Linked DNA regions of Macaca mulatta. The protein of the gene in region 5 purifies or fractionates together with the protein of the main gene of each other region. This does not show direct contact. Links are inferred from orthologs where the notes say so. Each region holds a gene or a part of one and is shown on either strand. Other genes may lie near its edges. The genes, in order: UBXN10, PPP2R1A, SVIP, BTRC, VCP, TUBB4B and RPL13.

Region 1 (4,026 bases), on a different chromosome or scaffold from region 5:
TAAGGCGGGAAGCACCAGGCTTAGTGCATGGTAGAAACTTAATTAAACGTTAAGGGATTTTGTTGTTGTTGTTGTTTGCTTTGGGTTGTCTGTTTAGTGCTTTCTGTCTGCTAAATTCAAAAGCCTTCCTTGTTTTGCTCTAGAACTTTTCCCCTGTGTCCTTGGTGATTCTACTCCTAGTCAACCAGCTGGGTGAGTCCTGAAACTCATGCCTGCCCTGTCCACTGCACAGAAACACAGGGAGGTGGATTGCAATGAGCTACCACCTATTCAGTTGCCTCAAAAACATGTGAAAAAAAAATCCTGAGTTGATCACTTCTCTTCTAATTCTACATTTTACTTACCTCAAATTCACTTCCCGTAGAATGATTACTTCCTGCAAATTCATTCCTTTCATCACAAAATCTTCAATGTAATCTGAGCCTCTCAGGGTATGTATTCTAACCTTACCATTCCGTGCATGTAACCACTGCTGCCTAATTTTAGGGAGTATCTGCTTCCTCTCCACTCAAACCAGGACCAAACAAAACACAGCATCCCTGTATCTTCCTGATGTCCTGCTCAATTCAAAATCTGGGACAAAGCTACCCTCTTTTAAAGGCCTCTATGTCGGCTGCATTCTACTCACAGCCTGAGTCTCTCTCCACTCCCCATTTTCCACTTCTCCCTCGTCTTTCACACCCAGTCTGGCTGCTAGTAGCTCAGGAGCCTTCTCCTTAGCAAAGTTTTGGCATCAAAAAAGACTGCCCATCTCCTTGTTAATTTCATCTATTTTCTGATCAACTGTGAAGAATGTGTTTTTCCCCCTTTAGTCTCATTCTCAAGTCTTTCTCTGGCAATTAGCAGCTCTGCACTTTCACTCAGGATGGCAGGAGAAGGTCATAACTGTCCAACTGTTCTGCCAAAGATAAGCTCCACAGGCAAACCCACGCCCCTCTCGGCCCACCCTCCCCACTTGTGGAATGGCTATTAATTTGCCACAGCTTCTACAGAATTATCACAGGCTTGGCTTCCAACACCCACACATGCCTCAGGAAGGTTTAGCTGTCAGTGAGTTTGGTAACTTAGAAACCTCTTCCTTAACAACTTTGATGAGGAGAGTCATGTGTTCTCACAGGCTCTCTGAGGGATTATTTTTAACAGTAAAACTTGAGTATGTGCATGCACTTTCTATACCTTTTGGTTCTATATAATTATCCATGTTCAGGGGGTGTCATATTCAAGACACCCTGGTCATAAGATAACATGACTGTGAGCTATCTCAGAGAAAAACCTCAATTATGACTAATTCCTAGGAGCCCACTCATGGTTATTTAGAGACTAACACCTCCTTCAGGTAAAACCATTATATCCAACCTGCTTTCATAACCCACTGCCTCCTCCCGAGCACAGGGACCATCTGTTACACGGAGGGAACACCAGCTCTCCCCAGCAGCCATCACATAGGGATGGGGCGGTTGGGGAAACAGGTGTCTGGGGATCTGGGCCAACTGTGCCTTTATATTCACACGTCGGGTCCTGAACTCTGCCCGCCGCCCTCAGTCCAGGAAGGCTCCTAGCAGCAGCCATCATTATCCCTGCTCAGTTCATTTCACCACCTCTAGGCCTGGCAGCCGCTCAACCACAAACTGATTTGACAAGATCTAGGCGTAGGCATCTACCAAGCTGCCAAGCTGAATAGGCGAGTGGCCTGTTTACTTAAACACAATAGCTGCGCCCCAGAGGCCTGCTAGGAGTCAGGAAGCAAACACTGCCAACTGTTTCCAAGAAGTTGCCAGAAGGGCAGGTGCCCATTCCTTAAGATTCATCAGCAAATCAACTGGAAAGAAGGAAATGTGGATGGGGGAAGCTAAAGCAGGGCTCCTGCTTTCTAAGGGTGCCCACCACCCACCACAGGGTCAGACCACCCTATTTCACTCACAACCCAAATCTAAGCCTACAGTATATGCAGTAAAATATAACCACCTACATACCATCTGCTGGTATATACCAAGATACATACATTTGAATTGGTCTTTTAAAACTGTATCAGTTAATCCTATCCGTTGCCACTCCCCACCCCCAACCCACACCCCCACCAGGCTTTCAGGATAAAAATGCTCTGAAGAACCAACAGGAGATGGTGGTTGGCCTGAGAATGAAAAAACTCTGGTACCATTCCCAGTTCTACCCCAAACTAGTGATTAGAATACACTGTCCTATGCAGAGTGCCACACTGAACCACAAGCCACCAAGTGATCAAATGTTTGGAAAGAGAATTAGGGATGATTCCAGAGACAGAAGGGCAAGGAAGTGGTGGGGATAACTCAATTATGTCCAAGTTCCAGCGCCCTAGAAGGCAACAGGCTTAAGGGGTGGAGGAGGGATCTGGGGGAGGGGCGAGAAAGAGCGTTTAGAAAGTGAGAACTGACTTCAGTGAAAGAGCACAGGACTGGGGGAGGGTCCATCTGGTTCCGGTCTCTGCCCTGCCGGAGACTGGGACGTCCTTTTCTCTCCCTGGGTCTGTGTCCCCATCGCTACATCCCAGCCTGGAGGGCATGGCCCAGCGGTTGCATAGGTCCCTTTGGTAAAGGTGAGCTCTGGCCAGGCTTGCTTTGCCTCGGGAGCAGACTTTTCTCCAGGTTCCTCGCCTGTCTCCCGGGGTTCGCGTCCCTGGGGCTGGGGCTGGGGAGGCCCTCAAGGGTGACGTGCTGGGGGCTCGGGGACTGGCTTCTCCCGGCCCCTTCCAGGCCCGGCGGAGGCCAAGGGCAGGCCGCCGGGTCTGGCAGCCGCGCTCACCTAGCCGTTCCGCTCCATCCGCCGCCTGCGCCCAGCTCTGTCCCGCTGGTAAACAGCCCTGGTCTCCCGGGCAACGCCGCGGGGTGGGGGGCCACGTGCTTCCGCCGTGACCGGAACCGGCCTGGGTCGGGTGGGGTCCAGTTGGGTCTGGTCGGGTCGGGTCAGGTGGGGTCGGTGGGGGCCGCTGGGCCAGGAGGGCGGAGGCCATGAGCTCCAGGTCGGTGGATTGCCAGCCGTATTGCCTGGCCTGGAGGCGACAGGGACCTGCGGCCTCCTTCTCTCCTCCTCTTCCTAGCGTCACCTGCCTCTGTTTCTCGCTGGGGAGAGTGTCTGGGAGAAGGAGAGCCCTAGCCGGGGCGTGGAGGCGCGGGGAGCAGCACCACTAGTCTCAAACCCCGTTTCTCACTTTGGGTCAGGTCCTGAGCCTCTCAGTGTCCCTGGTTTTAAAATGAGGCTGTGGGACTGATGGATTCTCGGAACCCTAGACTCTGAGTGGATGCTTCTAGGGTATCTGAGTTGCGGGGAGCAGGGTCCCCATCCTCAGTACAGCCCTTTCAGTGCCAGATCCCTGACCTCCTCATTTTCACATCAGCCTCCCACCCCGGGCCACACTGGGAACCTTATCAACAGCATCTGCACCTCCTTTGATGTCCCCAGCCACAATCTCTTCCACTTCCAGCCGCTTGAGTCACTTCTGCTGTATCTGTTTTTCACCATCTTTGGGCTACCTGTCCATTGCTGTCTCTGCTTTCCCCCTTGCTATCAACCTGCTTCTTCCCTATCCTGGCCCATCCCTCAGCCTTCTCAAAAGGATCCTCCCTCCCCGAGTCCTGCTCTCCTTCCATCTGATGAAACCCCAAGCCAAATCAGTCCGCCTACACATGGGTACTGAAGAAGTCTTGGCCAGCCACACACCTTGGTGTAACAAACACGAGGTCTCTAACCTCAATTAGACCATCAGCCCTGCACTTCCATCCCCGACCAACCATTGGGTTCTCTCTCCCTCCTTTCTTCTTTCTTCCATTTTTTTTTTTTTTTTTGAAGGGGAGACAGGGTCTTGCCCCTTCACCCAGGCTGGAGTGCGGTGGTGCAATCACAGCTCACTGCAGCCTGGACCTCCCCAGCTCAGCCTGCCTTGTAGCTGGGACTACAGGCGTGCATCACCATGCCTGGCTAATTTTTATTATATTTTGTAGAATAGGGTTCTGCCATGCTGCTGAGGTTGGTCTCGAAGTCTTGGGCTCAAGT
Region 2 (3,500 bases), on a different chromosome or scaffold from region 5:
GGTGGGCATCTGTAATCCCAGTCCCTCAGGAGGCTGAGGCAGGAGAATTGCCTGAACCCGGGAGGGAGAGGTTGCAGTGAGCCAAGATTGCACCACCACACTCCAGCTGGGCAACAGCACTCTAGCCTGGAGGACAGAATGAGACCCCGTCTCAAAACAAAAAAACAAACAAACAAACAAAAAACTGCACCTTTTTGGGCTGCGTCTTCCCCTTTGTGAAAGGACAGCTTGATTATGTCAGGAGCACCCCACATGTGCTACCCTTCTCTGCTCCTGTGGCACTTTCCTCCGTGAAGCCTTAACTTAGCCTCAGAATCCTTCTCAAGGCAGCACTTCAAGATGCCATGTCAATCAACCAGGATTGGCATATAAAGTGAGATGAAGTTAGACGATCACAGAGATCTTATTGCTCAAACGCCCAATGATTCCGTCGGCCTAATGGTAAACCTCAGCTTCTATATGCTTCCCTTCTGAGGGTGTCAGTGTCCCCCACCAGTGGGACAGTGTCAACGGTCGCTCACCTACCTCTGTGAACTTGTCGGCCACCATGTAGCGGACGCGCCAGGACTTGTCTTCAGCGGCCTGGCGCAGAGTGGGCATCACCAGGGCCTCCAGATCCTCCTGGGGTAGGAGCTGAGCAATGTTCACGCACGCCTCCACCGCCAGCAGCCGCACCGAGTCCTGGGGAGAGGAGAGGAATGCAGGAGGGCAGCAGAGGCCTTGCTGAACTCTGAGATTCTCTTTCACGGGCAGGGACCAGCAGAAGGAGGTGAGAGCAGAGAGGTCCAGGGAGCAAAACTCACCTGCTCGTCAGAGGCCAGGTTGGAGAACATGGGGATGATCTCACTCTTGACGTTGTCCAGCTCCAGCACCTTGGCAAACTCCCCCAGCTTGGAGGCTGCGGCCCGCCGCACCATGGGGGTGTCATCTGAGCACAGGTTCCGGAAGTACCTGGGAGTCGGGGATGGGGATCATGAGGCAGCAGGCAGTACGGCAGAGAGGAGCAAGCACAGACTGCAGTTGTGTGGGTCCAGGATTTAGCTGAATGACCTTGGGCAAGTGATGACTCCGTCTGTCTTCCCAGCCCTATGAAAAGGCGCTGATAGTAACAGTAACTACCCCACAGGTCTGCATGAGGTTTCAATGAAATAATGTGTGTGGGACACTTCGCAGACTGCACATAATAAATCCAGTCAATGGTAAGTGCTGACAATTACATTATCATGACCATAAAAATTGCTTAACCAAGGGGCCTGGTACAGTGGCTCATACCTGTAATCTGAACACTCTGGAAGACCAAGGCAGGAGGATTGCTTGAGCCCAGGAGTTCAAGACCCGCCTGAGCAACATAGTGAGACCCCATCTCTAACAAAAATAAAAAATGAGCCCAGCGTGGTGGTGCACACCTGTGGTCCCAGCTATTTGAGAGGCTAAGGCAGGAGGAATGCTTGAGCCCAAGAGGTTGAGGCTGCAGTGGGCTATGATTCTATCAGTGCACTTCAGCCTGGATGACAGAGCAAGATCCTATCTCAAAAACAAACAAAAAACTGCTTAACTAAGAGGCTAGTCTAGAGCCACAGAAAGGCTTTATTTTACAGCAGCAATTGCTTCGGTCAAAGATGGTCAGGGCCAGTGTAAGTATCTAAGCATCTGTGCAGCCGTAAATCAGAGTTCTGGAGTGAGCCACGGCTCAAACCTGGGCATGATGGTCAACTGTTTGCAAAGTAGAGGAGCAGGAGGCTGAAAACTGAAGTGGTTTACCTGCCAAAGGCACCGGACCTGGGACAGGCTGGAGACACCATCAGATGTGATGTGCTGAAAGTTTTTATGTTCCAGATTTTGCTCTAAGCACTTTATATGTGATAATTCCTTTTTTTGTTAGACGGAGTTTCACTGGTGTCGCCCAGGTTGGAGTGCAACGGCATGATCTCGGCTCACCGCAAACTCTGCCTCCTGTGTTCAAGCGACTCTCCTGCCTTAGCCTCCCAAGTAGCTGGGACTACAGGAGTGCGCCACCATGCCCGGCTAATTTTTGTATGTTTAGTAGAGACAGGGTTTCACCATCTTGGTCAGGCTGGTCTCGAACTTCTGACCTCACGATCCACCCGCCTTGGCCTCCCAAAGTGCTGGGATTACAGGCGTGAACCATTGCATCCGGCCTATATGTGATAATTCTTTTAAATCCTCACATTAACCAGTGGGAAGGAGGACCTGTCATCATCTCAATTCCTAAGTGAGCAAGGGGGCAGAGGTGGTAAATTGACACGCGGCTGTGTCCAGAGACCAACTCTCAAGGATGTGGCCTACCACGTGGTAAGCAGGAGTGGGACTGGAGAGAGTTCAGGGGCGTGTGGGCCCTAGGCAGACCGAAAGGAGGCTGAGGCTTTAGAGAAGGGGACCGAGCTGAGGGGGGAGCTTGGAGCTTCCAAGGGGGGCAGAGACTCACTGTCGAAGTTCCGCCTTGACAGCACTGGACACTCGGGGGTAGCAGACGGAGAAGAGGCCGCAGGCCGAGGTGCGGGAGGTGAACCAGTCGCCGCCCGCCAGCCGCTTCACCAGCGGCACAAAGTGTGCCTCCAGGTCAGAGGGCGAGTGCTCGTGTGAGATGGCCCGTAAGGACTCCACTGCCTTGTCCCGCACCACTGTCTCCTCCACTGTGGCCAGCGACTCCAGGGGTGGCTGTCGTGAGAATATGAAGTCACTGGACAGCTCCCTCTCTACCATCCCTGGCCCTGGACCCCCATCCTGCAACCCCCTCATGGGCTCATCTCCTCAGAGAAACCTTCCCTATTACCCATCCCAGCCTTCATTAAAAGAGCATTTTAAAATGGTTGCAGTGAATGATTCAAAGGAAAAACGTAATATTATGCCAGCCAGCAGAAGGTCTCTGTCAGCGTGCCTTCCACAAAGGTTCTTACTTAGGGGTCCTTGAAGAAGTTTCACTGGGGTCCATGAATCTGAAAATTACACACATCACTTTCTGAGGAGAAAGTTCTTAGCCTCTCAAAGTGCAATGATCATCACTGACACTGCGTAGAACATCAGTTCACTGTGTGTACTAGGCAGGACCACCGTGTTGTACCAGGGGTGCTTGTTTTTCCTCACTGAATTCTATAAAGCAAGTCCTGATTTTAAAGAAGAGAAAACTGAGGTACGGACTGGCTTGCCCAAGCTAATAATAGCTACAGGTCAGGATCGAAAACCTGACCTGAGTTTCCCATGAACAGGTACAGTTGTGCTGTCTCATACAACTCTGGTGACTGAATTGGGATCTCATGTTTCTGGGGGACTATGGGGCTCGGGACGGCTCGCTGGTTGTTACTGTGGGCTTAGAATGACTGTGCTCCTTCAGATATATATGACTGGCTCTCCACTGTATCCCCAGAGCCCAGCAGCACTCTTAGCACAAGACAGGAACTCTTAATTAGCGACCTACTGAAGGGAGACTCAACTTATCCCAATATGTTCAAATAAAGGTACAGAGGTCTCTGGTTTGAAAT
Region 3 (4,087 bases), on a different chromosome or scaffold from region 5:
ATCGATATAACTTCCAATATTTACTACTCATGATTTTACACTATTTCAAAATTTTCTGATAATACATTTCAGGAGAAAATTATTGAATGGATTGCTACTTAAGTTTTTTAAAATGCCAGTTAAGTTAAGCACAAGAAAATTTTAATACTTACCCTAAGTCCCCCTTCTGGTGGGGGCCCAGATGTAGCAATTTGTTTTTCTATTTTTTCCTTTTTCTTTCTCTTTTCTTGCACAGATTGAACATCCAAAATTCCCCGAGATGCAGCCTTGAAGAAATTTGGTAAGAAATACAGAAAGACAACAAAAATCTGTCCAGTGTGCAAAACATATTTTTGTCTATCTTTGCTTTCTAGGTTTTTCTTTGGGGGTAGGGAGTTGGTTTATTTTTGGTAACAAAGGAGTATTTCTACAACAGCCTTACATAAAACATCATTTCTTCACTGGGTATTTTGTAACTGTACAAATTTTCCCCTAAACTTGCTTCACATCTGTATTTTACAATGCACAGCCATTTTAAAAGGAAGGATGTTACTAAAAGAGTATCTGAATTTAGAGAAGATATGATAGTTTTCATATATTAAATAATATAAATATATTAATGCAACTCATACAAACAAGGAAATCATTTTGAAAATAATTACCTTTAAAGGTAAATTTTTGGGATATCAAAGGCCATTTGCGTTAGAGAATTTAACTATGGACATCTATGAAGAATAAAGTACAAAATTATCTAAGTAGGCAAAACTTGATCTTTAATCTTACCTCTTTTTGTCTTCTCTCTGCAGCCTCTGCAAGCTTTGCTCTTTTCTCTTCCTAAGGAAATGCGTAAAAATATGTATTAAATAACAAACATTATTGTGAATAAATTATAAACATTTATTTCATAGGTACTATAACAGTTCACAAAAATATTCAGTACTGGCCCTAAATGTCCCACAAAGAATGCCGCTACTCAACTTTCTGAATTTTATTCTCCTAATCAATACACCTTCAAATCAGCACATGCTAAAACAGATACAAGGTTTGCCTATATAATCATTTCTTTACTCTTTTTTTTTTTTTTTTTTTTTTAAATCAAAAGGCCTACAAGCTAGTCAGGGCAATAATAAAACAAATAATGTTTACAAATACAAGAAGGAAAATACATGGTTTGATACTGCTAGTTAAAATGGAGTCTGAAGTAACCCTGTGTTTTTAGCAAAAGTTAATGCATAAGTGGGCTAATCTCAGTGTGCAGGAGAGACGGATTGGAGTAATTTCATGACAGGTATTGTTCCATATCAGAAAACAGTGAATGTTATTTTTCTAGACCATGTACTACTTATTAAAACCCTTTTTCTAGGTGCTGGGATACAGCAGTGTAAAAACATAGATAAATGTCACCTCCCAAATGAAACAAATTTCAATTGCGGGCACACAGACAAATATAACAAAGTAAGTAAATGCCTCTCAGATGGTATGGCAGATAAGTAATGGGAGAATGGGTAGGTGGTATTGTGGGGAATATATTTTGTTTAACGTGGTCAGTAAAAGCTTCACTAATAAAGTGACATCCAAGCAGCGAGCCGTGTGGTTATCATGAGGGTATCAAGAGGGTATAGCATGAGGATGGGGGAGGGCTTAACCAATCTGACATGTTATATTTTATCAACAGCCAGAACAACAAAATCAACATAATTTAAAACAACAGCAACAACAAAGAGAAGCTGAACTTTCCCACATCAAATTTATAAGTACTAAATTTTTAGTATCTATAATAGCTGAAGAGTTAATGTACTTTCCTAAATACTTCATTTTCTTCAACTAATGTTTAGTTAGAGAAGAGAAACAGGTTTATGTTAACTCCCTGTAAGGAGTACTAACGTAAAGATATTGTTAACAGAAAGCTACAAAAAGTGTACATGTTATTGTACCACACACCCACTAGTTACATTTGAATTTCAGATAAGCAATGAGTAATGTTTTTGTAGAACTAGATCCCTAATATTGCACAGCACAAAACTATATTATAAATGTATTACTTGTATATCTCAAATTCAAATGTAACTGGGTGTCCAGCATTTTTGTCAAATACGACAACATTACAAATTGGACACTCTGTACTACATATTCTTTTAAAGGGAGAACGTAAAATAATCAGATAAATACTAAAAAGAAATCATTAAAATAACATATCCGATAAAGCTCAGGCGTATAAGCGACTTTCTGAGCACCTTCTGTTAAAAGATGGTAGACACAGTTGAAAATGCACTTCTCCTAGACGACTAAAGAGCTCCCGGTGAAAGCAATGTCTTTTTGCGCCGAATTCCATCTACCGCATCCCCTAGAATGTCCCACGCGCAACGCCCTCTGCGTGCGCCGGCGCCCTACGAATTCCCGGTGCAGCCCAACTCAGTGGAAGGTAAAAGACGCCACAGCCGCCTTTGGACAATTTTTTGTTACAAAAGTGGAGATCTACACGGAGGCAGCGGCCTAGGTCGCTCTGACAGGACCCAGCGACCCTCCTGACCCGTCCACCCGTCCTCGCCAGCAGGGTCCCCCTCGCGGGCTCTCGACCTGCGCCCCTAGGTCCAACGGCCCGGCCCGCCCCGCAGCCCGAGGACAGGTGCTCAAGGCGCAGCCCGGCGGACGCAGGGACCTGTTTTACTCACCAGGTCCGGCGTGGGAGGCGCGGACTCCCCGGGACAAGGAAAACACAGCCCCATAGGGACAACAACTGGGGAACCCTGACCGGGCTCCCCCCAGGCCAGGAGGCGCTAACTGCGCGGTCGGAAGCGCGTCCCTGGTCCTCCGCGCTTGCCCCGCCCCCACCACCGTCCACTGGCTCGGCTCCACCCCTGCGACAACGCCCCGCCCCCACTCCGCGGCTCCGCCCCGCCCCCACCCCGCGGCTCCGCCCCGTCTCGCCTCTCTGCGGCAACGCCCTCCTATTCTCGCGACACCGCCCCCCTCTTCTCGCGACACCGCCCCCCTCTTCTCGCGACACCAACCAGTCCCCACAGCTCAGCTGCGTCCCCATAAGGCATTGCCCCTTCCTCACCCACGGCTCCGCGTAGCCCCGCCACGAGAGCGCAGGGCTTGTGGCCAAAGCCTAGGTTCCAGGAAGCACCTGCTGTGGGTAGCAACGCAGGGAAGGGATGGAAAAGCTTCGCTACGGTTCCAAAGCTCTTCCTGCTAGCCTTGCCTTACCATTTACAAATGAGTAAGTGGCACAACTCTGGGTAGTTCATGCTACCTTTTTTATGAGATGGGACTCTGGTATCCTAGAAATTAAAGCCCAAATTCCAAGTCAACATCAGTACCCTTTGCTCCCTTAGTGACAATGCTGTACCAGAACAGAGGGCAGAATATAAAATCCATTATTATGACGATGAATCTAGCGTCATAAATGTGGCATTAGTTGAGATTTCCACTAGTTTCTGGTATTTAGGAGTCACTTATCACTCCGAGAGAAATAATAAAGTTTCATCTATTGAGAAATATTTTAATAACATTCTTCTCAAATTTTAATAAGTATGAGAATCACCTGGGCAACTAGTTAAAATTTACATGCTGATTTAGTGAGTATAAGGTGGGACCTGAGATTCAGTTCCAGTAAACCCACAGGTGATACTGAAGTTACTGACCTCGTCCCCACACAAATGCTTTTATTTTATTTTATTTTATTTTTGCATTCTATTAGTTATTTCTGCTTATTGGAAAATTTTGAAACATTACAAAAAGGTAGGATGTATAGTGACAGCATCTCAAAACCATTGTCAACTTTTTGATACATATTCTTACTGGTTAATTTTTTATAGATATATAATTTACATATAATATTATGCACTTATTTTGATTGTAGAGTTCACTTGGTTTTAACAAACATGTGATCACCACATTCAAGATATGTAAGTTTTCCATCATCCAAAAATCTATTATACTCAATCCCATTCAATACTCTATCCTATACCTAGATCCAGGAAACTATTAATTTGTTTAATACCACTTTAGTCTTTAAGTTTTGCATAAATAATATCACTATAGTCTTTAAGTTTTACATAAATGAAATATACGATATGTTTTGCAAAAGCCATAATGTTTTTTA
Region 4 (3,500 bases), on a different chromosome or scaffold from region 5:
ATCATAAAAGGTTTTGACTTAAAACATAAAGACAGAAGCCCGTTTTCAATACCTAGCCATCCCTTTCTGTAGCACTTTGATCTGAAGAAATTCAGGTACTTTACCAAGACATGGTAAATGCAGTGAGGTGGAAAACAAGATCAGAAGCTTATATGGGTTCTCTTTCCTTAGAATGTAGAGATAGTATCATTGCATAGGAAGAAAGTCTTGGAGTGCTAGAGATTAAAAGAAGACAGGAATCTCAGAAATGGTGGGCATTGAGAAACAAGTAGTTAAGAATGTGGGTGGGCTGAGAAATCAGGCTTAAAATCTTCACATTCAAAATCTACTATTTGCCTGCAAAGTGTTTGTAGAATAATATTGTACAGAGAAATGTACCATTAATCCGGAATTCTTTCATAACACATCTTGTTTCCCCTTTTGTTTATGCTGGTGTATCATGTTTCATTAATCCCCCTCTTTATAAGTATTATTTTCACTTCTCTTTTTCAGATTTTCTTTTCTGTATTAACACAGAAGTTAGAGCCAGCTACCTTCCTGGACAGGAAATTTTCTCAAATAATTTTCAAGGTGTATAATAGGGAGAGGGAAGGGGAGAAGCACTCCTGGAGACAACAAACAATTAATTATATTGTAATGGAGCTATAGAGGGAGGAGTGGATGACTGGCCCAGAGAAAACATGATTTCTCTGGTGCCAGGATTACACTCAGAGGCATTTCTGCCTGTCTCCACTTTGCAAGGCACGGTGCCAGTGAGAACAGCAGTTAGTACACCCATAGTGGGGTTTACTAGCTTCCACACCGTGTTTGGTGGGTTCTTAACTTCAGGATGAGGAATTAAATTTTTTACCCAGCAGGAAGTGATTGCCATTTACTGATTTTTTTTTTGTAGCAAAGATCTAGCTTGGGATATGAGTATTCCAGAGATGTGCTGTCATAAGGAAGGAGATACTAACAAATGTTGCTCACTGGAAACAGGGAAGGCAGTTAAGTACATGTATGTATATACACAGCCAGGAACACACCTGTGAAAGTCAGTTTCATGCCTTAGACTTGATAGCACAATGCTCTTAGGCGTTTCTTTTTTTCTTCTTCCCTAGCTGCTGCTGGACAAACCTGTGATCCTTTTGTTTTCTGTTGAAATGAACTGAATTGTTCCTTTCAAAGCATAGTTGCACTGATTAGCAGCAGCCTGGGTGACTGAGCAGCCACCTTACCCACACAGATAAAGACCTAGAAAAAGTGATCTCCATGCCAGAGGCATTGCTGCTGTTTACAATGCTGGGGACCACTACACAGTAAAAGAAAAAAAAAAATTATAGGGCATGTGCTAGTTCAAAGGTAATACTTACCATTACTAACAAAATTTCCAAAAGATGAGGTCAGTGAATCTAAGCAGTAGTCTTAATAGACCAATAGATGAATTCTGATTATACATATTCCATTTGTTTACTGATATTATAATATTTCCAAAGGCTTGGTACTCTGACGTTCTACACTGGAAATAATCATGTTTTACCCAAAAGCAAATCAGTGTTGATCAGACTCCTTAGAGCCCAGAAGGTTGCTCTTTGACATGGGACTCCTGAAATCAGGCTTACGTTTGCTCCTCCCTAGGCAGCTATGGAGAGTATATGGAATGGTAACTGTGAAAACATTTTGAAAATATATGAAGCTCCTTATAAATATATAATGTCGGCCAGGTGTGATGTTTCACGCCTGTAATCGCAGCACTTTGGGAGGCCGAGCAGGAAGGTCATTTGAGGCCAGGAGTTTGAGACCAGCCTGACCAACATGGTGAAACCCCATCTCTACTAAAATACAAAAATTAGCCAGCGTGGTGGCAGATGCCTGTAATCGCAGCTGCTCAGGAGGCTGAGGCAGGAGAATCGCTTGAACCCAGGAGGAGGAGGTTGCAGTGAGCCAACTCACGCCGCTGCACTCCAGCCTGGGCAACAGAGCAAGACTGTCTCAAAATATATATGTATATAAATGTATAATGTCATGATTTTCATTGGGAAATATTTGTTATTTTTTTAGGGGACAGTATTTATTCAAAAACAAACCTCCTGACGGGAATGCTCCTCCCAACTCTTTTTATAGAGCACTTTATCCTAAAATTATACAAGACATTGAGGTAAGAATCTATGTATTTTGGGGTATTTGCCCAGTGGCACAGAATTATCAGCATTCTTCAGTCACAATATGGTTACAGCAAGCCCATTAAGGTTTATTGACATGAGTTGCAAGTCAATCTCTTAGCTGGCTGTGGTGGCTCACGCCTGTAATCCCAGCACTTTTGGAGGCTGAGGTCAGGAGTTTGAGACCAGCCTGGCTAACATGGTGAGACCCCTTTCTCTACTAAAAATATAAAAATTAGCCAGGCATGGTGGCACACGCCTGTAATTCCAGCTACTCAGGAGCCTGAGGTAGGAGAATTGCTTGAACCTGGGAGGCACGTGTTGCAGTGAGCCGAGATCGTGCCACTGCACTCCAGCCTGAACGACAGAGTGAGACTCCATCAAAAAAAAAAAAAAAAGAAAAAGAAAAGAAAATCAGTCTCTTTACAGGCAAGTAGGGTAGGTAAAATAAATTGCTAGGCAAAATTTTAAAGCTTTAAAAAATTGTTTACTAATACATAGATGAGAGAGATAAAGAGATTGATCCCTTCATACAATAGCAGTGTGAATGGTAAACTTGTCCTCAAATATCTTCTGAATTGAACCTCCATAGAAGTTCATCAGTAGCAATGGCCATCACATATGTAAGAGCACTGAGTGTATAACCTCACATAGTTTGTAGCTTTTCTCCTCTTGATGAGTAGTCTCTTCCCACTAGATTTATTATTTAATTGAACAAATTATAGGCAGGGGAGTTCTAGGAAACAAACTTTAATTACTTTGCAAAAGGGAAAATATTTTATAAATGTAGATAGTAGCCTTTTAAAGACATTTTTAAGTTTTCCCTAAGTTGTGTATATCCCATAGAGTAAAGCATCGAGCCTTTGATTGTCATTAAAGCCCAAAAAGAGTTTGATTCTAGGCGTTTCCTAACACTGCCATTTTCCCATTCCTTCTTCTCAGACAATAGAATCTAACTGGAGATGTGGAAGACATAGTTTACAGAGAATTCACTGCCGAAGTGAAACAAGCAAAGGAGTTTACTGTTTACAGTATGATGATCAGAAAATAGTAAGCGGCCTTCGAGACAACACAATCAAGGTGAGGTCTGTTCAGTTGTAGGAAGGTAGCGGAGGGAGCGAGGCTGACTACATTCTTAGCACAGTCCAAAGCATAAACTCTAAGCATTATTTCTAGAAAGTAAGTGAAGATTTTAGATTGTTTCCAGTTCCAAAGCCAAAATCATTTCCTTAAAGGACAGACATCTGCTTCCCCCCAGAATATTATACAAATGGGTAGTCCTAGGGTTAAATTCTCTTCTTGAAATGCACTGAATGGGCTATTACTCTTTTGGCCCTCACATAATTATAAACTACCTTG
Region 5 (3,047 bases):
ATATTAACAAAAAGCTTTTTTTTTTTAAATCAAACAAAGTACATAAAATAAAGGTGGGCACAACGCTAAGTGATCACCAACCAGGGGATGTTTGGGATTTTTAGATGCATTAAAAGGGAGTATAGAGAATATCCACCTGCAAATAAGATTGTATTTTTTTGCAACCCTATGATTTTCAAATGGCTCCTAAACACAGTCTTTGGTCAGGATAAGGGATTCTGCAGGCCTAGCCTTACCGTTCACATCAAATATAGGTGGAGGGATGCCATATTCTCCACATTTGGAGCTCTGTCAGGCTGCTCCCTTTCCACCAGTCCTATCCAGTGATACTGCACACACAGGGTGAGGCAACAGGAGACATCATACTGATGTTGATCAGGAAAGGAAGAAGGTGCAATCTTACTTCCAGGATTTCACATTTGGAAGAATGCCTTGGGAGTGGTGGGTAGCCCAAAGCTCTTCCCAGGAAAAGAAGCAGGCACAGGGCCCAGGACTCAGGCTCCATTTTGACCCAACGTTTATTGTCCTTTTACAACATGTCATTTTTTGGTTTAGAAACTGCTTGTGATTAGTTTTCCAACATTAACTCAAAAGCATGTAAAATAAATCAACCTACTCTCTATATAAACACCCAGCAACTGTGGCCCCTACCCACCTACCCAGGTTGGATAGGGGGAAGGGAGGGCTCGGGCAGCATTGAGTCAAGTGCAGATGCTTTACTGTGGCAGGTGGCAGTAGTGCCTTGGTTCACACCCCACACAGGTCCCCTGCACTGCCCCAAACTACAACAGAAATGGCATAGGCCCAAGGCCCAATTCCCTGTTGGTAATTCACTCTCCACCTACCAAATGAAAATCGCTTTTATTTTTTCGCTTTTGTTTTGTATTTTTGCAACAGAAACCCCCTGTCCAGAGTCAGACTGTAGCTGAACTGTTCAGACTGAAGAATGGAGCAGGCTGTGGGCGCACCCCTGGTCCCTCTCCTGGGCAAGCGCCCCCACCCCCAGGGAACAAGGTCCGGGCAGGCCAGCTCACTGCATGCTGGCCACCACCACTTAGCCATACAGGTCATCGTCATTGTCTTCTGTGTATACACTGCCACCTGTGCCGCCTCCACTGCCCTGACTGGGGCCAGCTCCACCCTGGTTCCCTGAAGGGAATCTGTGTACGAGAGCAAAGCCAAAAAAGACGGTTAGGACAGAGCCTGTGTAAGATTTCCACAACTACCCCTCTAGCTTCCTTAGGACTCCCATTCCCTTTTTGGTGTAGGTTCCCAAAGTAACTTAAGCACTGTCTAAGGCTCCCAACCAAGTTACCTGAAGCTGCCAAAGCCCCGACTCTGCTGAAGGGTCTGGGCGAACATCTCGTACTTCCGAATGTCATTGTCACTGACAGAACGGCGCGCAAAGCGCATGGCTTCTTCAAAGTGATCTCGACGGATCTCAGGCACTGGATCATCCTCTTCTACCTCCTATAGTTGGTAAACACAGATCACTAGGGCTTAATACTTTAAAATGCCAATAGTTTTCAGTGTTTACCACATTTGGATTACATCCTACCCAGTGGTCTCACTTTCAGTGACATATATACTCTAAAATATACTCAGGGTTTCCCAATGATTGCAATCCTACTACTAGAGCACATTATTTGGGCTGCTTATTCCCTTTATTCAAATTATACTCTCTTCACAGCCCAGCTCAAAACCTATCTCTTCCATTGAGAGGCCAATTGCTGTGACTTATGAGACTGCTTCCTAGGATTAGTTCATAAGTAGTTTTAAGCTTTTATGGGAGAGAGAAGGTCACAGACCCTTCAAAACAGAAAGAAAGCCATTTATTTGCTCATTCATTAAGTCCCATGTTTGGAACTTAATGAATTAATTAAGGGTAACACAGGACATAGTGGAAAACAAGTGAGATGACAGAGATCCTACCTTTATGGAGCTTACACACACATGAATTTGTCTTTTCATTTTGGGAGGACTGTGGACCCCATCCCTTCCCCAACCATCAGGGACAGGTATATGGGTCTCATCTCAGTTCAAAACCTTGCTCTGCAGCTCACGCCTGTAATCCCAGGACTTTGAAAGCCCAAGGCGGGCGGATCACAAGGTCAGAAGATCGAGACCATCCTGGCTAACACGGTGAAACCCCGTCTCTACTAAAAAAAAATACAAAAAACTAGCCGGGCGTGGTGGCATGCACCTGTAGTCCCAGCTACTCGGGAGGCTGAGGCAGGAGAATGGCTTGCACCTGGGAGGCGGAGGTTGCAGTGAGCCGAGATCGCGCCACTGCACTTCGGTCTGGGCAACAGAGCAAGACTTCGTCTCAAAAAAAACAAAAACAAGAACAAAAACCTTGCTCTGTTTGGTGCACTCTCATACTTTGATTTCCCTCATGGAGCTTGGTTTAGACTGAGAATGGAGCCTGCCCATCTCTTCTCGGCCTTATTCCAAATTGAATGGATTCACCTCAGTATTCTTTATCTTTGATGCCCTATTAACATTCTTCTCAGATGATCTTTTCAACAACTTCTACTCTCAACTCTAGGGCATGGTGGTGGCTGCTGCCTGGCTCCCCATGACTGGCACATCTGGGGAAAGGATACAGACTCACCATGGCTGATGGGTTTGTCTGCCTCTCTCGTTCTCGCCTAATCTCACTTTCGATGGATTCACGGATGGCCAGCTTGCAAGCACGCTGGCAAATCTCTGTAAGGTCAGCTCCAGAGAAGCCATTAGTCATTTTAGCCAGGAACTCCAAGTCCACATCCTAAAAGAAGCAGCAGAGCTACCTTAGCATTTAGCCTCTTCTCTCTTGAGATACACAGATCTTTGGGCCATCCAAGCACTCCCAACTAGTTTGCCCCTTCTTTGGCCACCCCATTTTATTCCTGATTCTAGATTATCTTAATACCCTCAAAAATTCTACCTTCCCTTTAGACCAACCCTAACCCCAAAGCAATCTTGTCCAGAACCCAAAGAGCACTCTATACCAGACTGAGGACTCATACAAGTCTCCCACAGCCCATGATCCTGCACCTGCCTTG
Region 6 (2,666 bases), about 59 Mb from region 5:
GAAACCCCCACTGTGACCTGGGTGAGAAGCTGCCTGGAACACACTGGCCCAGCAACCACATCTACAGCAGCCAAGGCCTGATCCCCTTCTACATGGGGTTCATCCCCTGTGAGTACAGGGCGGGAAGGGTCACACGGACACACCCTGGCCAACGTGGGGAGGGGCAGCTGTACCTGCCCACCCTTCATTGCTGGTTCAGGACCACCTGTCTGACCACCGTTACCAACCAGGGTCCCACCTTGGTTGGGGTAGGATTGTCTGCCATCCTCCCTACCCCTTTCGGAAGGGGGCTAAAGTCCCAGACACAGGCCAATGGGCCCCAAGGTTGGGTACCCAGAACAGGTCAGGCCTGCCTTCAAGAAGCAGGTTCCCCACCAAGCAGATCCCCAGGGCCCAGGGCAGCTGCACACTTCTCTGAAGCCTGGGTGTCCAGCCCATGCTGGTCCCTGGGTACATAAGCCCAGCTCACCTACAGCCTGGCTCCCCGCAGCCATGCAGGACAACTACGCACTGACATTCGGCAATAGCACCCGGAGGGCCTACTGGAAGGAATGGGCGAGGCGAAACCGCACACTATGAAAATGCTTTAATGGTGGTGTCTGTACAGCATGGGATGAGGACAGGGAAAACAGAAGTGCACACACAGCGGGACAGGCCACAGGACAGGCTGGGAGGGAATAAAGAGTTCGCACTGCCTCTCTGCTTTCCCCGGTGACTGAAGGCTCTAGGCCACCTCCTCCTCAGCCTCCTCCTCGAACTCGCCCTCCTCCTCGGCCGTGGCGTCCTGGTACTGCTGGTACTCAGACACCAGGTCGTTCATGTTGCTCTCAGCCTCGGTGAACTCCATCTCGTCCATGCCCTCGCCCGTGTACCAGTGCAGGAAGGCCTTGCGCCGGAACATGGCCGTGAACTGCTCGGAGATGCGCTTGAACAGCTCCTGGATGGCCGTGCTGTTGCCGATGAAGGTGGCGGACATTTTTAGCCCCCGGGGCGGGATGTCACAGACAGCTGTTTTCACATTGTTGGGGATCCACTCAACAAAATAGCTGCTGTTTTTGTTTTGGACATTAAGCATTTGCTCGTCCACCTCCTTCATGGACATGCGGCCCCTGAACACGGCAGCAACCGTCAGGTAGCGGCCATGGCGGGGGTCACAAGCAGCCATCATGTTCTTGGCATCAAACATCTGCTGGGTGAGCTCGGGCACGGTCAGGGCCCGGTACTGCTGGCTGCCCCGGCTGGTCAGCGGGGCAAAGCCGGGCATGAAGAAGTGCAGGCGGGGGAATGGGACCATGTTCACAGCCAGCTTCCGCAGGTCAGCATTGAGCTGGCCCGGGAAGCGCAGGCAGGTGGTGACCCCACTCATGGTAGCAGACACCAGGTGGTTCAGGTCACCATAGGTGGGCGTGGTCAACTTTAGGGTTCTGAAGCAAATGTCGTAGAGAGCTTCGTTATCAATGCAGTAGGTCTCGTCTGTGTTTTCTACGAGCTGGTGGACTGAGAGGGTGGCGTTGTAGGGCTCCACCACTGTGTCTGACACCTTGGGCGAAGGCACCACACTGAACGTGTTCATGATCCTGTCTGGGTACTCCTCCCGGATCTTGCTGATGAGGAGGGTACCCATCCCAGACCCCGTCCCCCCACCCAGGGAGTGGGTCAGCTGGAATCCCTGCAGGCAGTCACAGCTCTCAGCCTCCTTCCTCACAACATCCAGCACCGAGTCCACCAGCTCCGCGCCTTCTGTGTAGTGCCCCTTGGCCCAGTTGTTCCCAGCACCACTCTGACCTGTGAGAAAACAGTCATTTATCAGCCAACTAGACAGCACTACTGGTCACCACCACCATGCGAAAAGGACCTCGTGACATGGTGTGAGCTGACCCCAGAATTCACCCTGCAGGTAGACCAAACAGACCCCTCAAAGTGAAAGGACGGCAGCCTGCCCTGCTACAGATTAAGTCAAGAGCCAAACCTGAGAGCTTAACAAACCCCTCCCCGGAGAGGGGGGGGCCACTGCCAATTCCCAAGGACAGAGCAACAGCCACTGCCCCCAGCTCAGCTCCCTGCAGGGAGATTACGTGTGTGGCGACTCCTCGCCTCGGCAGACAGCTGGACCTTGCTCTCAAAGCCGATTTAGGAGAGGGGATTGAGTGGTTCAAAGAAGAGCGTCCAGGGGCCCGGGCTGCGCAGTTCCCACGGAGGTGCCCTTGGAGCAGCCCCTTGACCTTTGAGCCGCCGCCCAGCCCCCAGCCGCAGCTCACCGAAGACGAAGTTGTCCGGCCGGAAGATCTGCCCGAAGGGCCCCGAGCGCACGGAGTCCATGGTGCCGGGCTCCAGATCCACGAGCACGGCGCGGGGCACGTACTTGCCGCCTGCGGGGACGGGAGGGCATCAGCCAGGGCAGGGGCCGCGGGGTCCCCGGAGGGCGGTCGGGGAAAGGGCCGGGGCCTCACCGGTGGCCTCGTTGTAGTACACGTTGATGCGCTCCAGCTGCAGGTCGCTGTCCCCGTGGTAGGTGCCCGTGGGGTCGATGCCGTGCTCATCGCTGATCACCTCCCAGAACTACAAGGGACGCGGGCGGGCCCGGGCGGGTCGGGGCTGAGTCACCGCGGCCGGTGCGCAGGGAGGCAGCCCCGCCCCGGACGGGTGCGGCAGCCCGGCCCTCCCCG
Region 7 (4,244 bases), on a different chromosome or scaffold from region 5:
TTTTGACAGAGTCTTGCTCTGTTTCCCAGGCTGGAGTACAGTGGCGCGATTTCGGCTCACTGCAAGCTCTGCCTCCCCGGTTCACACCATTCTCCTGCCTCAGCCTCCCAAGTAGCTGGGACTACAGGCGCCGCCACCACGCCCGGCTCATTTTTTGTATTTTTAGTAGAGACGGGGTTTCACCGTGTTTGCCAGGATGGTCTCGATCTCCCGACCTCGTGATCCGCCCGCCTCGGCCTCCCAAACTGCTGGGATTACAGGTGTGAGCCATCGCGCCCGGCCGGGACTGTGAAATTCTTAAAATGTGGACTAAGTTTTACCAGGAGGAAGGCTGGTGATTGGGTGAGGGTAGGGAAGAAAGAGGGTTATTAAGATTTAAAGGTTTCCAGGTAGCAGTAAGATGGATGGTGCCTTCACAGACTTGCACTAGAGAGTAAGAGCTGGCTTTTTGTTGATGCTTTTCTTTGTGAAGGGAGGCAGTAGGCACAGCAGGTCAGAATGTGACATTTTCAGTTGGGTACCCCTGACCTTAGAGAAGTCACCTAATCCTGGGCCAAGGGAAAGCGGGGACAGAGGCCAACAGTAACTGCTCCTTACGGAGTTGTGTGGATTCGATGTGAAAATGCACATCCGGAACTGAACTCCCTGCTTACAAAAACACTCAAGAAATGTTAATTTTATCTTTTAAAAAACCAGCATAGGCCGGGCGCGGTGGCTCACGCCTGTAATCCCAACACTTTGGGAGGCCGAGGCGGGCGGATTGCCTGAGCTCAGGAGTTCGAAACCAGCTTGGGCAACACGGTGAAACCCCGTCTCTACTACTAAACTAAAATACAAAAAATTAACCTGGTGTGGTGGCGGGCGCCTGTAATCCCAGCTACTCGGGAGGCAGAGTTTGCAGTGAGCCGAGATCACGCCATTGCACTCCAGCCTGGGCGACGGAGTGAGGCTCTTGTCTCAATATAAAAAAGTTCTAAATGGATGGGAGGAGAATAAACGCTGGAACAAGGAGGACGACGGCCTTAGGTTGCGCAGACTCGGATCTCATTGCAGTTTTCCTGCCTTTGCGCTACAAACGTGTCCCACAAACGCGAACAAACTTAAGAATTGCCGGGGCGTCGCCCGTTCGCCGTCCGCCCAGATGCTGGCCGCGCGCGCGTTAGTCCGCAAGGCGGGACTCGGCCTGAGCCCACCGCGGCCCGCGCAGCGGCTGAAGCGCCGGGGCAGTAACGGCGGACGTCAAGCAAGTCCGGCCGCGGGGTCCGCAGGGCCCGGGCATCACGGCCCCGCCGCCGCACTCTGAGCGACGCCATGTCTGCGAGGGCGGCCCTGAGAGCGCGCGGTGACGTCAGTTCCTCCTTTCCGGGCTCTGATTGGTCAGAGCGCCCGGCGCTTCTGGTTGGCCGGCCCTGCTATCATCCCAGGGTGCATTGCGGCGCCGTTTCCTTTCCGCTCGGTTGTCTTCCTGCGCAGGAGGTGAGCTAGACTCGGTCCCGGCCTTTGGGCTTCATCCGGCGCCATCGGCCTGGCGTTGCTGCCAGCGCGGGCATGGATGGGCCCCTTCTTTTTCGCAGACAGCGTTGGGCCGGGGCCCGGGCTCTAGGCGCGGCCGGACGGCCCAGGCTGGAGGGTTCAGGGCGGAGGTCCGGGGGGTGCGCGCGCCCGGGGCGCGGCCTCTCACTCGCTCCCTCGCGTTCGCAGCCGCAGGGCCGTAGGCAGCCATGGCGCCCAGCCGGAATGGCATGATCTTGAAGCCCCACTTCCACAAGGACTGGCAGCGGCGCGTGGCCACGTGGTTCAACCAGCCGGCCCGGAAGATCCGCAGGTGAGCCCTGCGCTCGGGGCGCCCCTGGGGCTCGCGCCCGCGGCTGCGCCTTGGTTTGGGGGTGGCCGGTGCCAGGGCGGGGGGCGCTGTCTGCGGCCGCCGCGGAGCACTCGCCTGGCGGCCTTAGGCGAGGGTGACCGCCGCTGGGCTTCTCTCCACCAGACGCAAGGCCCGGCAAGCCAAGGCGCGCCGCATCGCCCCGCGCCCCGCGTCGGGCCCCATCCGGCCCATCGTGCGCTGCCCCACGGTTCGGTACCACACGAAGGTGCGCGCCGGCCGCGGCTTCAGCCTGGAGGAGCTCAGGGTGAGTAGTGGCAGCGCCGCGGTGTCGGGAGGGCCCTGAGTCCCCTGTGCTGGCCTCAGTCGCGTGATGACATTCTCCGGAATCGCTGGACGGCCTTGATGAAAGCACGTTTGAACCCTTTTCCATCTGATCGCTGGGCCTCTCCATCCGGGCCTCGCGGCGGCGAAGGCCCGGGCCCGCCTCCATCTCTCTCCGCTTCTGGGGCAGGTGGCCGGCGTTCACAAGAAGGTGGCGCGGACCATCGGCATTTCTGTGGATCCGAGGAGGCGGAACAAGTCCACGGAGTCCCTGCAGGCCAACGTGCAGCGGCTGAAGGAGTACCGCTCCAAACTCATCCTCTTCCCCAGGAAGCCCTCGGCCCCCAAGAAGGGAGACAGTTCTGTGAGTACAGGGCTCTCCGGCCGTCCTGGCGCGCGGGGAAAGTGAGGCCGGGTTCCTTTATCGGCGACACCCGTCCCTGGGCCCTGCTGGGGTGAGAAGAACCAAAACCTCGTGGCCGTTGTGATCCGCAGGATACGCCTGTCTTGCAGGATGACGAGCTAATCGGGACTACTAAGGTTCACCTGTGGTTTTCAGCAGGGATGACCTTAGTGGTCACGGCAAAGGCTGTGTGACTTGGAGCCAGCTTTTTCCGTTGAAATCATTGTCTCCCTAAAATGCTTCGTGTTCTGGCCTGGCGCGGTGGCTCAAGCCTGTAATCCCAGCACTTTGGGAGGCCGAGACGGGCGGATCACGAGGTCAGGAGATCGAGACCATCCTGGCTAGCACGGTGAAACCCCATCTCTACTAAAAAATACAAAAAACTAGCCGGGCGAGGTGGCGGGCACCTGGAGTCCCAGCTACTCGGGAGGCTGAGGCAGGAGAATGGCGTGAACCCGGGAGGCGGAGCTTGCAGTGAGCTGAGATCGCGCCACTGCACTCCAGCCTGGGCAGCAGAGCCAGACTCCGTCTCAAAAAAAAAAAAAAAAAATGCTTCGTGTTCCAAAATATTCTAGAAAAACCTTGTAGGGTAAGGTTGATAAAAGTCCATTGTATACGTTTCCTGGTAGTTGAATTAGGGAACGATTTTCTCTGCCCCGTCCCTGGTTCACAGGTAGATATAACTGTCTCATGCGTGTTGTGTCAACTCAGTAAGATAGCCACCTAACTAGTAATGACTGTTCTCAACACTGGGGACACAAAGTATGTTGGAGGAAAGGCTCAGACACTGGTGCTGAACTCGGGATCCCCAGGGGGAAGTTTGGGGCCAGGCGGGGGTGGAGTCCTTGGGGCAGCGCGGCTAAAGGCACTTAACTCTTCTCGTTCATCAACAGGCTGAAGAACTGAAACTGGCCACCCAGCTGACGGGACCGGTCATGCCCATCCGGAATGTAAGTTAACACTTGCTCAAATCCAGCTTTAGACGAGATCAGTGGGTGATCACATGGATATCTGAGATGGGGATCAGGCCTAAGAAAGTTAATGGTGGCAGTTGTGCTGCGTGTGGAGGTTTGTGGAAAAGAATATTTCTTAGTTTTTACTTCTTGCAACCACGAAGCCGTAAATTGGGAAGTTTTTTTGGAAAGAGAGTTTCTCTATGTTGCTTACACTGGTTTTGAATTTTGGGATTTACAGACCTAAGCTGCCGTGTGTAGCTCAGGCAGGGAGGGTTTTTCTTTTCTTTTCTTTTTTTTTTTTTTTTTTTTTTTAAATCACAGGGAAGGTGACTGACTCAAGAGTCGCTTTTCCGCAGTTGGGCAGCACACCTGCCCTTACATCCCCCGAAGTCCTCTGGGTTCTGATGATGCCTATTGTGCCTTTGCCCATTGACACACTGGGTTCAACAACTTGTGTTTCTCTTCTAGGTCTATAAGAAGGAGAAAGCTCGAGTCATTACTGAGGAGGAGAAGAATTTCAAAGCCTTCGCTAGTCTCCGCATGGCCCGTGCCAACGCCCGGCTCTTCGGCATACGGGCAAAAAGAGCCAAGGAAGCCGCAGAACAGGATGTTGAAAAGAAAAAATAAAGCCCTCCTGGGGACTTGTAATCAGTCAGCAGTCACGCTGGGTCTCCCCGTGGTGTATTTCGTGGGAGCTGCTGGGCCTGGGATGGGGTTTCGCTGCTGTGACTTCTTACAG

The links.
Region 1: the proteins of VCP (region 5) and UBXN10 purify together in Homo sapiens (affinity purification with western blotting; 3 studies listed by BioGRID and IntAct, with this or other methods). This does not show direct contact. The link is inferred for Macaca mulatta from reciprocal best matches to the Homo sapiens genes VCP and UBXN10.
Region 2: the proteins of VCP (region 5) and PPP2R1A purify together in Homo sapiens (affinity purification with western blotting; 4 studies listed by BioGRID, with this or other methods). This does not show direct contact. The link is inferred for Macaca mulatta from reciprocal best matches to the Homo sapiens genes VCP and PPP2R1A.
Region 3: the proteins of VCP (region 5) and SVIP purify together in Homo sapiens (affinity purification with western blotting; 3 studies listed by BioGRID and IntAct, with this or other methods). This does not show direct contact. The link is inferred for Macaca mulatta from reciprocal best matches to the Homo sapiens genes VCP and SVIP.
Region 4: the proteins of VCP (region 5) and BTRC purify together in Homo sapiens (affinity purification with western blotting; 4 studies listed by BioGRID). This does not show direct contact. The link is inferred for Macaca mulatta from reciprocal best matches to the Homo sapiens genes VCP and BTRC.
Region 6: the proteins of VCP (region 5) and TUBB4B purify together in Homo sapiens (affinity purification with mass spectrometry; 3 studies listed by BioGRID, with this or other methods). This does not show direct contact. The link is inferred for Macaca mulatta from reciprocal best matches to the Homo sapiens genes VCP and TUBB4B.
Region 7: the proteins of VCP (region 5) and RPL13 purify together in Homo sapiens (affinity purification with mass spectrometry, with the first as the bait; 3 studies listed by BioGRID). This does not show direct contact. The link is inferred for Macaca mulatta from reciprocal best matches to the Homo sapiens genes VCP and RPL13.

Annotation. Positions count from the first base shown.
Region 1 is NC_133406.1:220,784,109-220,788,134, forward strand, and holds the start of UBXN10 (UBX domain-containing protein 10), read right to left. Parts: upstream 2,801-4,026; 5' UTR 2,779-2,800; exon of another isoform or gene 2,412-2,778; intron 1-2,411. UniProt on the Homo sapiens protein: VCP/p97-binding protein required for ciliogenesis. Acts as a tethering factor that facilitates recruitment of VCP/p97 to the intraflagellar transport complex B (IFT-B) in cilia.
Region 2 is NC_133424.1:64,406,338-64,409,837, reverse strand, and holds part of PPP2R1A (serine/threonine-protein phosphatase 2A 65 kDa regulatory subunit A alpha isoform), read right to left. Parts: exon of another isoform or gene 2,824-3,500; intron 2,680-2,823; coding exon 2,447-2,679; intron 1,816-2,446; exon of another isoform or gene 1,800-1,815; intron 952-1,799; coding exon 804-951; intron 682-803; coding exon 526-681; intron 1-525. UniProt on the Homo sapiens protein: The PR65 subunit of protein phosphatase 2A serves as a scaffolding molecule to coordinate the assembly of the catalytic subunit and a variable regulatory B subunit.
Region 3 is NC_133419.1:42,569,304-42,573,390, reverse strand, and holds the start of SVIP (small VCP/p97-interacting protein), read right to left. Parts: upstream 2,801-4,087; 5' UTR 2,706-2,800; coding exon 2,652-2,705; intron 814-2,651; coding exon 763-813; intron 267-762; coding exon 153-266; intron 1-152. UniProt on the Homo sapiens protein: Negative regulator of the ER-associated degradation pathway (ERAD) of misfolded proteins. It competes with AMFR/gp78 for binding VCP/p97, and inhibits AMFR/gp78-VCP/p97 complex formation that is required for degradation of ERAD substrates.
Region 4 is NC_133414.1:113,601,823-113,605,322, forward strand, and holds part of BTRC (F-box/WD repeat-containing protein 1A), read left to right. Parts: intron 1-2,040; coding exon 2,041-2,137; intron 2,138-3,083; coding exon 3,084-3,221; intron 3,222-3,500. UniProt on the Homo sapiens protein: Substrate recognition component of a SCF (SKP1-CUL1-F-box protein) E3 ubiquitin-protein ligase complex which mediates the ubiquitination and subsequent proteasomal degradation of target proteins. Recognizes and binds to phosphorylated target proteins.
Region 5 is NC_133420.1:64,669,095-64,672,141, reverse strand, and holds the end of VCP (transitional endoplasmic reticulum ATPase), read right to left. Parts: coding exon 3,044-3,047; exon of another isoform or gene 2,987-3,043; intron 2,856-2,986; exon of another isoform or gene 2,771-2,855; coding exon 2,615-2,770; exon of another isoform or gene 2,537-2,614; intron 1,494-2,536; exon of another isoform or gene 1,471-1,493; coding exon 1,316-1,470; intron 1,161-1,315; coding exon 1,055-1,160; 3' UTR 501-1,054; downstream 1-500. UniProt on the Homo sapiens protein: Necessary for the fragmentation of Golgi stacks during mitosis and for their reassembly after mitosis. Involved in the formation of the transitional endoplasmic reticulum (tER).
Region 6 is NC_133420.1:5,210,464-5,213,129, forward strand, and holds the end of TUBB4B (tubulin beta-4B chain), read right to left. Parts: intron 2,560-2,666; coding exon 2,451-2,559; intron 2,370-2,450; coding exon 2,259-2,369; intron 1,787-2,258; exon of another isoform or gene 1,786-1,786; coding exon 725-1,785; 3' UTR 580-724; downstream 1-579. Other genes in the region: CIMIP2A (ciliary microtubule inner protein 2A), read left to right, coding at 1-108, 491-579. UniProt on the Homo sapiens protein: Tubulin is the major constituent of microtubules, a cylinder consisting of laterally associated linear protofilaments composed of alpha- and beta-tubulin heterodimers.
Region 7 is NC_133425.1:85,005,366-85,009,609, forward strand, and holds RPL13 (large ribosomal subunit protein eL13), read left to right. Parts: upstream 1-1,444; 5' UTR 1,445-1,476; intron 1,477-1,701; 5' UTR 1,702-1,721; coding exon 1,722-1,825; intron 1,826-1,987; coding exon 1,988-2,129; intron 2,130-2,193; exon of another isoform or gene 2,194-2,277; intron 2,278-2,336; coding exon 2,337-2,510; intron 2,511-3,442; coding exon 3,443-3,499; intron 3,500-3,973; coding exon 3,974-4,132; 3' UTR 4,133-4,167; downstream 4,168-4,244. UniProt on the Homo sapiens protein: Component of the ribosome, a large ribonucleoprotein complex responsible for the synthesis of proteins in the cell.